Linked DNA regions of Drosophila melanogaster. The protein of the gene in region 3 interacts with the protein of the main gene of each other region in a pairwise test. Each region holds a gene or a part of one and is shown on either strand. Other genes may lie near its edges. The genes, in order: CG14143, CG13540, CG13445 and TfIIEbeta.

Region 1 (3,066 bases), 4.7 Mb from region 3:
TTTCCCACCAAAGCTTTTTCACATGGAACAAAACTTTTGTTGGGCTTTCTTGACCATTTCGATTAAGCCAAAAAGTTGACATCTTTCTGGCCCGAAGTTATAGCGAGCTATAAGCCGAAATACTATGTTTTATCTTTAACAACAATCTTAAAGTTAAATATTTACTTAAGTGTTGTGTTTTTCAGACTTTCACCGACCCAATGGTATGTGGACTAAAAAATGTTTAATTCCAAATATACAAGTACTAAGAAATAATATTACTCATCCGCCACGTTAAACATGTGCATATAGTTCTCAAAAGCCATTTTGCAAAAGTGCAAACTTATGACAATAATCAAGAATAACTATTGAACCATAACTATTAGTCTACTCCACATATTACTAAGTAATCCTCTAAGTATAAGTCCATCAGTTAGCTTTATATCGTTTTCTGCATGGTATTTATATGGAATTAATGCTTGTTTAGTTTTTGAAAGCATAGTTTGTAAAAAACAAAACCCAATAATTAAACAAAAAATTTTAAATATGTTTTTATTTAAATATTGCGAACTTAATAAGAGTAAAGTAACATTAGGATTAACAAGGTGCGTGTGGGTCGTTCATGTAGATCTTCAGGGTCTGCGGTGTTCCAAACGAGATGTCCTTCTTATTCCCAACTCGATCGGTTCTTCCTCTTTCCATCACGTGAGTGGCGGAACTTGCGGCGTCGGTTCGACTTGTGGGTCTTCTTCTTGTAGTGGACAACGGTAGCCTTCTTCTTTGGTTTCTTGGTGGTGGGAGTCACGGTGGTGCTGCTTCCGGTTGCCGAAGGCGAAGTGGTGGACGTGTCTGTATCAGTGGTCGGAATAGTGACCGAAGGAATAGTGACCGATGGAATAGTGACCGATGAAACAGTGACCGATGAAACAGTGACCGTGGCGGGAGAAGTCAGTGCCCAGGCAGTCGAAACGAAAGCCGCGATGGCAAGGAAGATAGTTAGCTGGGATCGCATCTTGAACAATGTTTTAGACTGCTATGACTGATGTGCTTCTTTCTGGGCGAAGCTGGCGTATATATAGCCAAATCAAGAGGAAGATCTCATATATGTTTTCCCTAAGCAAACAGCAAACAGTCGTTTTAAATCGAATCGGAATGTGATGTTTTAGTAAATTTGGGTTGCTTAAACAGAGATCAATACCACATTTTCGCAATGTATAATTAGGCTATTTATACAGAGGCTCACTTAATTATACGCCATTCATTTATTTTTAAAATACTAATTTCTTAGAGAAACGGATGTAAGTTGGGTGGGTAGCCAAAGTATTGAAATAAAAGATTTTTTTTTGTGTCATAACTTCGTATTTATTTTCCGTATAACTACATAGTGAAATACTTTACGAACTGACTCTCAATGGAATGTAAATTTAAATCGGACTGGAGAGCCTTATACATAAGGTTTTGAATTGTTACGAACCGAACTTGGAACCAAGTGTACGAATTGTAAATAAAGACGGCAATTTAAATTGACACGAAAAAAAAAGATAATATAAAATAAAAATTGGTCTTACCACAACGTATAAACATTTTCTGTTGCACATAGTTTGTATTTTATTCAAATGTTTTGCTCTGATCTATTAATTGGTGTAAAATAACTTGAGTGGTTGGGACTAACTTTACAAATGAGTCTCAAATGCATTTTAAGTAATGTGAAGTTCGGGTATAAACTAATCAAATCGAGGTGTATAGATATAAAATCAAATCACGGCTTTGCTTGGCGTACACACATATTAAATAATATTAATATCAGTTAGACTCAGAGACGTTCTATGAGCTAAATACAATGCTTTAGTTAGGCGAGTAATTTAGTTAAGATTTTACCACTTTTTCTTGAGTTTCCTTTTGCGTGTTTAATATTTAAGTTTTGTGTTTTCCAACTTGTACAATTACGAAACATTATTTTGGTTTTGCAATTACAATTAATAATTGAATGGCAATCTCTGTTCCATCTTTAGGCCCCACCCATGTCGTCCACGGCGATGGCACACAGCACGTACATCATTCCGGCGCTGAGGAGCGCCGTAACCGGCACCGTTACGATCCATGCATAGGCAATATTCCGGAATAGATGCCAATCGACACTGCCATCATCCATGGGCGCAACTTCGTTATGGGTCTCCTTATCGGTCTGATCATTCGGCTGACTCTTCTTCTTGCGACCTGATGCACTCACATGACCCACAAAAACCACCGAACCGACCTTGCAGTGAGTAGTCGAAATGGGCAGGCCAATTTTGCTGGCCAGCAGTACGGTGATGGCAGCTCCGACTTCAATAGTAAAGCCACTGAAAAATAGTTGAAAGTGAATGTTCTATTTGTGAAAGGATAAGGGAAATTAGGAACTGAATACTCACGTCGATGAGGTTATTTTCGTAAGGTCATTGCCAATGGTCTCGATGACTCGTCGTCCCCACAGCCAGAGACCCACAGAGATGCCGATGCCGCCGTAGATCAGAATATAGATGGGACTCTCGGCCTGCTGCATAACCGATCCCTCGCGATAGATCATATAGAGGGCAATCAGTGGGCCGATGGCGTTGCTCACATCATTGCCGCCGTGCGCAAAACTGCCAAATGTGGCTGTCAGGATCTGCAGAAACGAGAAGAGCATTGAAATCTCCGGAGTCTCCTCGGCGCCACTGGTTCTTCGTCCACCGCCCGTCGTTCGTTTCAGCTCCTCCTCCTGCTCATTCAGCGCCTCCTTGCTCTCGATCAGAGGAACCTTGCTGGAATTGGGCGATAAAGTGGAACTGATCATAAGATCAAGGCTGCCGCCGCTCTCCACCACTTGAAGGTTGTTATTTGTGGCTTTGGTCGATCCGGTTTCCAAGTCCGTGCCAATGGAGTTCGTCTTGCTCTGTAAGTGGAAAGAATCGAAGATTAGGCAAAGCAATCGAATTAGCTAGCTAGCACTAAACAGGTAGTACCTTCTGCTCCTCCTTGGGCGACTGCATCCGCTTGAAGCACTCCTGCAACTTGCGTCCATTTTGCTGCTGCTGCTGTTGTTGCTGCTGCTCGTCGATAAAATTC
Region 2 (2,674 bases), on a different chromosome or scaffold from region 3:
CCGCCCAAAACTGCCGCCCATCCACCATTACCACTGCATATCGATTTTCATGCTCCGCAATCGCTTTGGATTATTCCGTAATTAAACGCAAATGCAGGCACCAAACTCGCGCTTTCGCCGCCTCCAACAACACTATCTCATACCCTACTTTTGACGATTCAAAAGTAATGTATATAGAGTTGAATAACGGAAACCAAATGAATTCTGATTCAGAGTTTTAAAAAACTATGGTATATGCTTACACTTTTTGCTACTGTTCGGTAATTACAGGGTATCTGATAGAGCGCCTGCTTCATCGACTGTGGCATTAAAGCCTCCATTTGTGCGTTGCAATTTGATATTCCGCTTCTCTGTTTTTTTGGCCCCATCGATTGTTGCTCTTCCTGGCTGTTTTTGTGGCTCCGATTGCCGGTTGGTGCATTCAGTGGTTGATGATTTCACCTTTTTCGCTCACCTCGTTGCTTTGATCGGTTAAATGTTAATGACTTTGTGGAGCGTATCTCCGTCGAAAGTGGAGTTTTTTGTTTAAGGCCCAAATGCGTGGCAAATTGCTGGCAAAATGAATCACTATCGGGAAATATATTAAAGCGCGTAATGGCTTTAAAACTTTTATAACATCATTCTCATCTCGAAAAAATCTTAGCTATCGGTCTAGTTTCAGCCGAATGCTGCTTTCCTCTCAATTTCGATATTTAATTTAAGCGCCACTGCTGGTTAAGCACTTGTTTGCTGGCCAAATTTTCCAAAACATTTCACTTCACGCGGCCAGAGACCTTAAACCACCGTCAAGCTGCTTATGTTGTTTGCATTTTGTTAAGCAAAAAATTAAATAACAGCACCCACACACACACACACACTCGTGGCCAGAGGGGCGGTAAGTGCTATTATTTGTTATTTGGTAAACGCAACAAATGAACCACCCATGTGCAAGGGAACATGGAGCTGGTTGCATGGAACTGGGAGCAGGGAGCAGAGGACCCGCAGAACGACCGCGACGGCAGTGGCAAAAACAGCAACAAATAGCAATATCTGCCAGGACACGGGAAAGAGGACATGGGGACCTGCATCCAGGCGTGGCATCATAATTAATTCAAATTTGAATTTCCTTTTGGCGCAATGCACGCGCCATTTTACATGATGGGTGGCAGTGCCACGCCCACATGTGTGGCATGCTATGACATCGGGGCTCCGGCATAATAAACTGTTTAAATATTTAGTCGAAACGAGTTTTTAATACTCGCTAGCGCTTTTAGCAGCTGCCAGCGGTCAGTGAATGGGTCCTCGTGGGTTTTGGGTTTTGATTGGGTCAAAAAGTCGTTGAAGACACTGAAAGCAGATCCTTTGGCCACACCGATAGTTTTCAGCCAAGAAATCAAGAAATACTGCGAGAAGAAGATGCACCAGTTGAACCTGAAACCTATTATTATTAACTATAGTTTTCTTGTATACCTCCAAATGCTAAGTTCCAATTTGGTTTTCATCTAACTCTTTTTATATCGAAATACTTGAAGTAGGGGAACATTGTGCTTTAGTGTTACCAAGGCAAATTTAAAATTTGTATATCTGGTATATAGCCAATCGACCGACAGCCTTACCCTTTTGCACATTCATGGAAAACCCTAAGAGCCCAGTAAGTAACCTTTTCAAATCAGTGAAAAGTGGAATAAAATATTGATCCGTTGCAGATGGCCAACGATCCCGGTAAGCCGGAAAAGTCCAGGCCACGCTTCTGCACCCTGTTGAACCATGAGGTCGTCGATCCCAAAGAGTTCATGGTGCACTTCGCCAAGCGGAGGAAGAATGAAATCATAATCCAGGGTCAGGTCTGCGGTTGGTGCTACAACATAGATTACTTAAAAGATGAAAAAACAAAGTTCAAGAAGAAGCGGCCCAATCTTTCGGATGCGAGCGTCACCAAGCAGCGCGCCACCTCACCACGAAGAGGAGCAATTGCAGACAACCCTCGTCAATTGGGTGGTGATCAGCACTGCTCGGAAAAGAGTTTTGCGCCCTCTGGTGACGAAATACCCACACCACGTGATTTGAAGGACAAACCTGGTGACCTTGCCTAAGGTCCGATACTGAAGTGGCCATAAAGCGATTTCAATTTGTAACATGTTTTCATTGATATAATCCAATAAATGATACGCCGGCTGTCTTGAAATCTCATTTAATAACTTTCAGTAGTAACATCCGGCCCCTTGGCAGCCAGGCCGGCGTGCGATCTTCTCGAGGTCGTGCACGAGGTGCGAAATGTGGCATCCAACGTAAACAAAATCTGTGGCCAGATAACAAATATAATAATATGCATTTACTGATGGCCCACATCTACAATAGATCTTAAGTATTCCCACAATTGGAAGGAAAGAACATTCATTTATTATCTGCTTATTTATAAACCTTGAACTTATGATATAACAGAATTTAGAAAGAATAAATGAGGATGAAATATACATATACATTTCTCCATATGATTATGTAAATGGTGTAATAGATTAATAATGCCATAGGATAGGAAAATCTTCGCCTCGCTTGTGTTCTTGTATAAAAAAAAAAATAGAATGTATAACTAAAGATTGTGTTTTCAAATGAATGATGTACCCCATCAGCGTCCAAAATAATTGCCCCAGTAACCGCCAATCACTCAAGTCCGTCCGCCAGTCAGTCAGCATTC
Region 3 (2,634 bases):
TTAAATCCGATTAGCTCTGATCTCTTTCTAGAGCAATCCAAATTACTCGATCAGAAAGAAGCCACCCAAAACAAGATCATTAAATTTTAAACCATTTTTGTATTAAATGTATGTAAATGTATATTGGTTTTAAAAGCGTTTTGCGTTTTCTGTATCCTATTAATTAATTGTGTTGCCTGTGTCCCATCATTCCAAAACATTTGGTTTCAACTAAGTAGAAATTGCAAATAAATTATTGAACGACATCACTAGCGAGGTGAAAAAAAAGATCATGTAAAATTTATGTTTAGTCATAGTTTAAATATACCTTAAATATATTTAAATGCATAATACTAAAATGTTTAAATTAATGCAAATAACACTATAAATATTGTATGTAAACCATATTAAAATTGAATTAAAGATACTTTAAATTATGTTAAATAAAATTAATTATACAAATCATCGTTGTAATCATCGCTAAAATGTAACTATTGTGGGGCATGCTTTTTGGATGATTCCTGAGCTGCGGTATCTTTTGGGGGAAATAAAAAATCAGATTACGCTCACAAATATCGTATAATTTTAAAACTTTTCGCCATAACAACAAATACTATTTATAAAAACAAAAATTACAAAAACTGTTAACTAAATGATTAAGATTCATTGGAGGCGCTTTCATCGGAGACGCTTTCATCGGAGGCGCTTTCATTGGAGCCGCTTTCGTAGCCTTCAGGATACTCGATGATCAAAATTTCTTCGGATGCACTGCCGCTGTCATCATCCGCGGCATCGTCATCATCATCATCATCCTCCTGCAAGTCGTTGGCAGACTCATCCGAGTCCTGCGAGAATTCCCAACGGAAACGACGATCGCTGATCACATCATCACCCTTGTCCACAACATCCGAGGAGAGACTGGCGGCGATCACCATGGCGATGATACCTAAATTGGATAGACTTGGATGATTTGGTATCCTTTTCGTCGGCTTCCTTTTCCTAACTCACCAAAGAACACGAAGAAAACCTTGTTAGACTGCATATTTGATGATTGATTGTAGCTTGAGATGCTTTCGATGCTGAGTGAGCTTTTGGCTTCGGCTTATATACTAAAATTTTGGCAAGTGCCTTGCGAATCGTCTCTGACCCAGCAGACTGTGTTTGACTACCCCAAGATCAACGAAATGCCCCAAAATTCTACATAGAAACAACTAACAAAATATTAGCATAGCTATTGAGTTTGAGCGATCAAGGTCAGAGCTTTCGGGGTTTGCTGGGTGATTTGTGTTGTTAGAACCACGCTTCAATGCTGTAAATTGGGTTGCAAATTAGGTGGCAGTAAAATATCTTAGAGATACACTAATTGAATATACTTAATATTAATATAAAGGTCCATACAAATCCACACACATGCCTTCTAAATCGGTAAATGAGTGTTTTTTTTAGAAAAAAAAAACAAATATTATAGACATTTTAATTACAGTCATGCTTTTCATTTAAAAGGGTAGAATTTTGGAAATATAAGTACATTTTCCAAAACTGAAAGCTTATTTTGTAGCAAAAACTATTTATGATCCTAACTAGTTTTAATATTGTGATTTGTTTTTTATTCATTTAATTTTAGTTATATAAAATGTAAGGTCACAGCTCAAAAGTATGCAGCAGAAACGTATGTATGTAAAATATTTTGTATAATACACGCGTATAAGTAGAATTCCGTGTATATTTGAAGTATAAGAGCAGTTTGCTTAAGGCTTTCTGCTTATAAGTTTTCAAAGTGTTTTCACATGCTTTTAAAGCGTATTAAAAAGTGTAAATGGTTAGTTCTCCTCCTCGCAAGCATCAATCCAATCGTTGAACACATCAATTGCCTCCGTGAGATAGTTTATATGTGTTTGAAAAAATTCTTGGCACACGGTACAGGTAATTCTTCCTATTTTTTTCGCCTTATCTCTATGAATACTATGAAATTAGCGGAGTAAAACCAAATTTTGATTCCTACTCACAGTTTCGCTTCACATGACTGCTTGTGATTGCAGAATGGACAATCGAAAAGAATGGGCAGCGGCTGAATATTTTTCTTTCTTGGGGCTCCTTTGCGTTTGGACTTGCGACGACCCATGGCAGAAGATCAGAAGATACGATATATTTTAATATTTTAATTGCAATTTTTTAATTAATATGCTCTTGCACACTTCTGACTCCACTTTCGTCAAATTATATTTTTGACAGTCGTTACTGCGGGTTCTTTTATTATGATTACATTTTAGCTAGAAAAAAGCTGTTTAGCTAGGTTGTAAAAAATCAACGGAGATATAAATCATTTATTTGATGTTTTTAATTCCATACTCAAAAAGCGTAATAATGATTTTATTACACGTAATATATAATAATAATACATTTTAAAATACGTAATAAGATAATAATACTTTTGGGAATTTATATAAATATAATTTTAAAATTATATCCGTTCAAAACTAAAAACATCCTAATGTGAACTCACTGATTTGTAATAATCTGTTTAATACTCCTTTGCCGCTTCTCTGTTTTTGTGTGGGGTTTCCAGTTGAATAATTTCAATGTTGATATTGATCCGTTTGGATAGCGAGGATCTTCAATTGATTGAGCCCACATAAGTTGAGCATCTGTCTAGAG
Region 4 (3,817 bases), about 12 Mb from region 3:
CCCAGAAGCCGCCATTTATGCCAAGTAAACAAAGCCCTAAAACTCATTTTCATGCAGGCTTTAAAACACTATTCTTCTTTAGGGACAAACTTCATGGCCTGGAGTACCCAATGGGCGAACGCATCATTGTCAAAGTCAATGGAATGAGCTCAGCTCGCATGGACACATCCTTCATAGACAGTACGCGAGTTAAACCTATCAAGGGCTACAGGCCGCGCCATCACCTGTAGCCATTTATTAAACGCTTTTGCTTGGTTTATTTCTTAGCACATTTTTGGCTTAAAATGCATGATATTTCCTATTTCTAGACTTAATGTGGTTTTTTATTTTAGAGCGAACCAAAAAGGATGCCATCTGCAATGTTCCCTTGCCCCCAACTCAGCCACTGGCATCGCCGGACGACCAGGTGGCCCAACGACTGTTCATTGTGCTCTCAGCGGTAGGTATCACTGTACCGTGTCCAATTACCATTAGCTATAAACGTTGTTTCTTTCCCATCTACTCAGAACTTGCCGCATTCGATATTGAAGAACATATTCTCTTGCTGGTCGGGACTGATCGACGTCTACCTTCTGCCCAACAAGAACTGTGGCTACGTCAAGTATGCGGAGGTTGAGAGTGCTCAATTGGCCATTCGTACCCTAAACGGAGCCGAAATTTGCGGCACCAAAATCAAGGTTTGTACCGTGTACTCATGTTCTGTTGCTGACAAGCAAGCAATTCTAATCAATTTTAAATTTTTATCTTACTTTAGGTCATGGAGGCTGAGGAGCGAAGTGGCTCCGACGGCGATGATGGCGGTCGCAAGCGATTGAGACGGAACTGAGTGTAAGTAGCTAGTTGAGTATGCATAAATTCCGTATCTATTAATGTAGCCATAATTGAACTGAGTGTGTGCCGTGGTACGAGGTAAGTAGCTGTGCAAATTCCAAACCGAAAACCTTTTAGCGATTTAAGACAATGTGCGCCTGCTGCACTTGCCCTGTGCACCGGTTGGCCATCGATGTCCACGATACCCATGCCGCCCACTGAGCGCGAACATAATAAGCCAAACCATTTTTATCTTTCTATCTCCACAGACCCACTGACAACCAAGAACTTACAGAGAACGCAATGTACGAAAACGTAACTAACTTGAGCATACAGTCCGATAAAAACAGTTGAACTGACCACCAACCACCAAACAACGCAACAACCAACCAATAACCAAACAAGAACCACCACCACAACAACACTCTCCGTACGGAATGCCACATGAACCAGAACCACGGGGACTGGAGAACGCAGACTGGAAACGGAAACTGCGAACGAAGACCATACCCGGGTGAACAAACCAAACAGGCCAACGAAATCACCACACCCGTTGACTACTCTCTACCAATTGACTAACTCAAGTGGGTCTCGTACAGAGCACTCGTAGAAAGACCCATAACCCATACGACCTTTAAACGGAGCCAACGAAACCGCAATGCTCTTGCTATATACACAATATATGCATAGTGTCGTATATATGTGTACTCATACCGCTTAGGGGACTTTTGAATCTACCCGTGATACAGAAACGAACTCTCTGTGTAACTTGAACTCTTACAAACTTATTCCGACGAGATTCAGCCAAGCAATAAATTCAAACGCAATGAATTTCTTAAGAGTATCAACTCTGTCTCGTAAATTCACGCTAAGCCACAGCGTGAAAAATTATTCTTTTCATATATTAGATTTAAATAAACGATATTCTACTGTATAAGGCCAACAATAAATACACTTAAATGGAATAATGTTTTTTTTTTCTTTGGAAGCGAAATGGGAAACAAATTAATTCTCGCTATGCAGATTTTCCATATATATATAATAAATTTTTTTTTAAAAGCGAATGGACTTTTTGAAAGGTCGTTAAATGAACCAGTTCCGAAATGTACAACTTCAGTGTCGCAGCCCTGGTAAGTTCCGGTTCCACGGACAGCTGAGCAGGCATTGTTTAGATTTTGTAAATTGTTGATTTCTCGCAGCAGAAAGTTTTTTTTCGTAGAGCTAAATAATAAAAAAAAACATTCGAAATGGATCCAGCACTGCTTCGCGAACGCGAGGCCTTCAAAAAGCGGGCGATGGCCACGCCCACGTGAGTACCGCACTTGTGGCCCCTCTGATAAAGATTGCTTCTCGAAAATTACATGCTATCCTTTTAAAATAGCGTGGAAAAGAAGTCCAAGCCCGATAGACCAGCTCCACCGCCGCCTAGCGATGATTCCAGGCGCAAAATGCGCCCGCCCAATGCTCCCAGGCTGGATGCCACAACGTAAGTTCCTTGAGAGCCTCTGCTACTGCCAGAAATGGTTCTTAACCATGTGGAACTCTTGCATTCCATACTTAGATACAAGACCATGTCCGGCAGTTCCCAGTACCGCTTTGGAGTGCTGGCCAAGATTGTGAAATTCATGCGCACACGTCACCAGGACGGCGACGACCATCCCCTGACCATCGATGAGATTCTGGACGAGACCAACCAGCTGGACATTGGGCAATCCGTTAAGAATGTTAGCTACAGTGCGTGATAAGTTGTGGCAGGTTATTAAACCATTATTCCTCTATTTTAGTGGCTTGCTAGCGAGGCTCTGCACAACAATCCCAAGGTGGAAGCCAGTCCATGTGGCACCAAGTTCAGTTTCAAGCCAGTCTACAAGATCAAGGATGGCAAAACGCTGATGCGTCTGCTCAAGCAACATGATTTAAAGGGCCTGGGCGGCATTTTGCTGGACGATGTCCAGGAATCTCTACCACACTGCGAAAAGGTGCTGAAGAACCGATCAGCCGAAATACTTTTTGTTGTTAGACCCATTGACAAAAAGAAGATTTTATTTTACAATGACAGGACTGCTAATTTTTCGGTGGGTTATAAACACACTCTTCTAAAATCCCAGCCTAATCAATTGTACCGTCTCAGGTGGACGACGAGTTCCAGAAGCTATGGCGCTCGGCTACGGTCGATGCAATGGACGACGCCAAGATTGACGAGTACCTCGAGAAGCAGGGCATTCGCTCCATGCAGGACCATGGCCTCAAGAAAGCAATTCCCAAGCGCAAGAAGGCGGCCAACAAGAAGCGGCAGTTCAAGAAGCCCAGAGACAACGAACATTTGGCCGACGTTCTGGAGGTCTACGAGGATAACACACTAACGCTGAAGGGTGTGAACCCAACGTAGAATAGAGACATTAGATTATACAAATAAAAACCACTCTCAATGGAATTAAGTACACTCGAAACTGGATGTTATAAATTTGTTTAACCACTGCCAATCTAATTAAGAATCCGCTGTGGCCGAAATCTCATTCCTCAAGATTTATAGTACCAGATTGCTGTTCTGCCTGTGGCATTGAACTTAAAAATATGACGACCGGCACAGGGAAAGATAATTAAAAAGCAAAACTATGTAATCTTTTCCTGACATTCCCCATTGCTTTCCACACCTGATGGCTGGTGGTGTGCGTGTACGAGGGCCAGAATCGATGCTGGTGGGCAGTTAAATTGGCAACAGAGGGAAGCCGTAGCTTTAGTCTGCACTGAACAGCAGCCAAGTTCAGTTGGAATCGATTTGGAATAACCTATATTTTGGTACGGCGGTTGTGCGGGCTTATCAGGAAAATTATCTATATATTGGACTCTACAAATCTAAAAAAAGATTGTGTTGCTATTTGTAATCTATTAAGATTATAACAAGAGATCCGATATTCAGTATAGACAAAAATATAGCTCATACGACTCGTAAATCAGTCATATTGCAAACTATCGTTCGTCCTCTAACTTGTTCAATTTAAAAGAT

Evidence for each region.
Region 1: the proteins of CG13445 (region 3) and CG14143 interact in a two-hybrid assay, tested with the Drosophila melanogaster proteins (one large-scale study listed by BioGRID).
Region 2: the proteins of CG13445 (region 3) and CG13540 interact in a two-hybrid assay, tested with the Drosophila melanogaster proteins (one large-scale study listed by BioGRID).
Region 4: the proteins of CG13445 (region 3) and TfIIEbeta interact in a two-hybrid assay, tested with the Drosophila melanogaster proteins (one large-scale study listed by BioGRID).

Annotation. Positions count from the first base shown.
Region 1 is NT_037436.4:11,132,922-11,135,987, reverse strand, and holds CG14143 (uncharacterized protein), read right to left. Parts: upstream 1,002-3,066; 5' UTR 992-1,001; coding exon 647-991; 3' UTR 508-646; downstream 1-507. Other genes in the region: NaPi-III (Na[+]-dependent inorganic phosphate cotransporter type III), read right to left, coding at 1,988-2,321, 2,391-2,893, 2,964-3,066.
Region 2 is NT_033778.4:23,268,899-23,271,572, forward strand, and holds CG13540 (uncharacterized protein), read left to right. Parts: upstream 1-1,578; 5' UTR 1,579-1,609; coding exon 1,610-1,630; intron 1,631-1,685; coding exon 1,686-2,072; 3' UTR 2,073-2,161; downstream 2,162-2,674.
Region 3 is NT_037436.4:15,807,885-15,810,518, reverse strand, and holds CG13445 (uncharacterized protein), read right to left. Parts: upstream 1,035-2,634; 5' UTR 1,022-1,034; coding exon 988-1,021; intron 926-987; coding exon 636-925; 3' UTR 542-635; downstream 1-541. Other genes in the region: CG6244 (uncharacterized protein), read right to left, coding at 1,800-1,932, 1,986-2,101.
Region 4 is NT_037436.4:4,285,093-4,288,909, forward strand, and holds TfIIEbeta (transcription factor IIEbeta), read left to right. Parts: upstream 1-1,945; 5' UTR 1,946-2,057; coding exon 2,058-2,119; exon of another isoform or gene 2,120-2,191; coding exon 2,192-2,296; intron 2,297-2,371; coding exon 2,372-2,534; intron 2,535-2,594; coding exon 2,595-2,885; intron 2,886-2,941; coding exon 2,942-3,199; 3' UTR 3,200-3,257; downstream 3,258-3,817. Other genes in the region: CG1316 (uncharacterized protein), read left to right, coding at 1-24, 83-180, 333-439, 507-677, 755-826.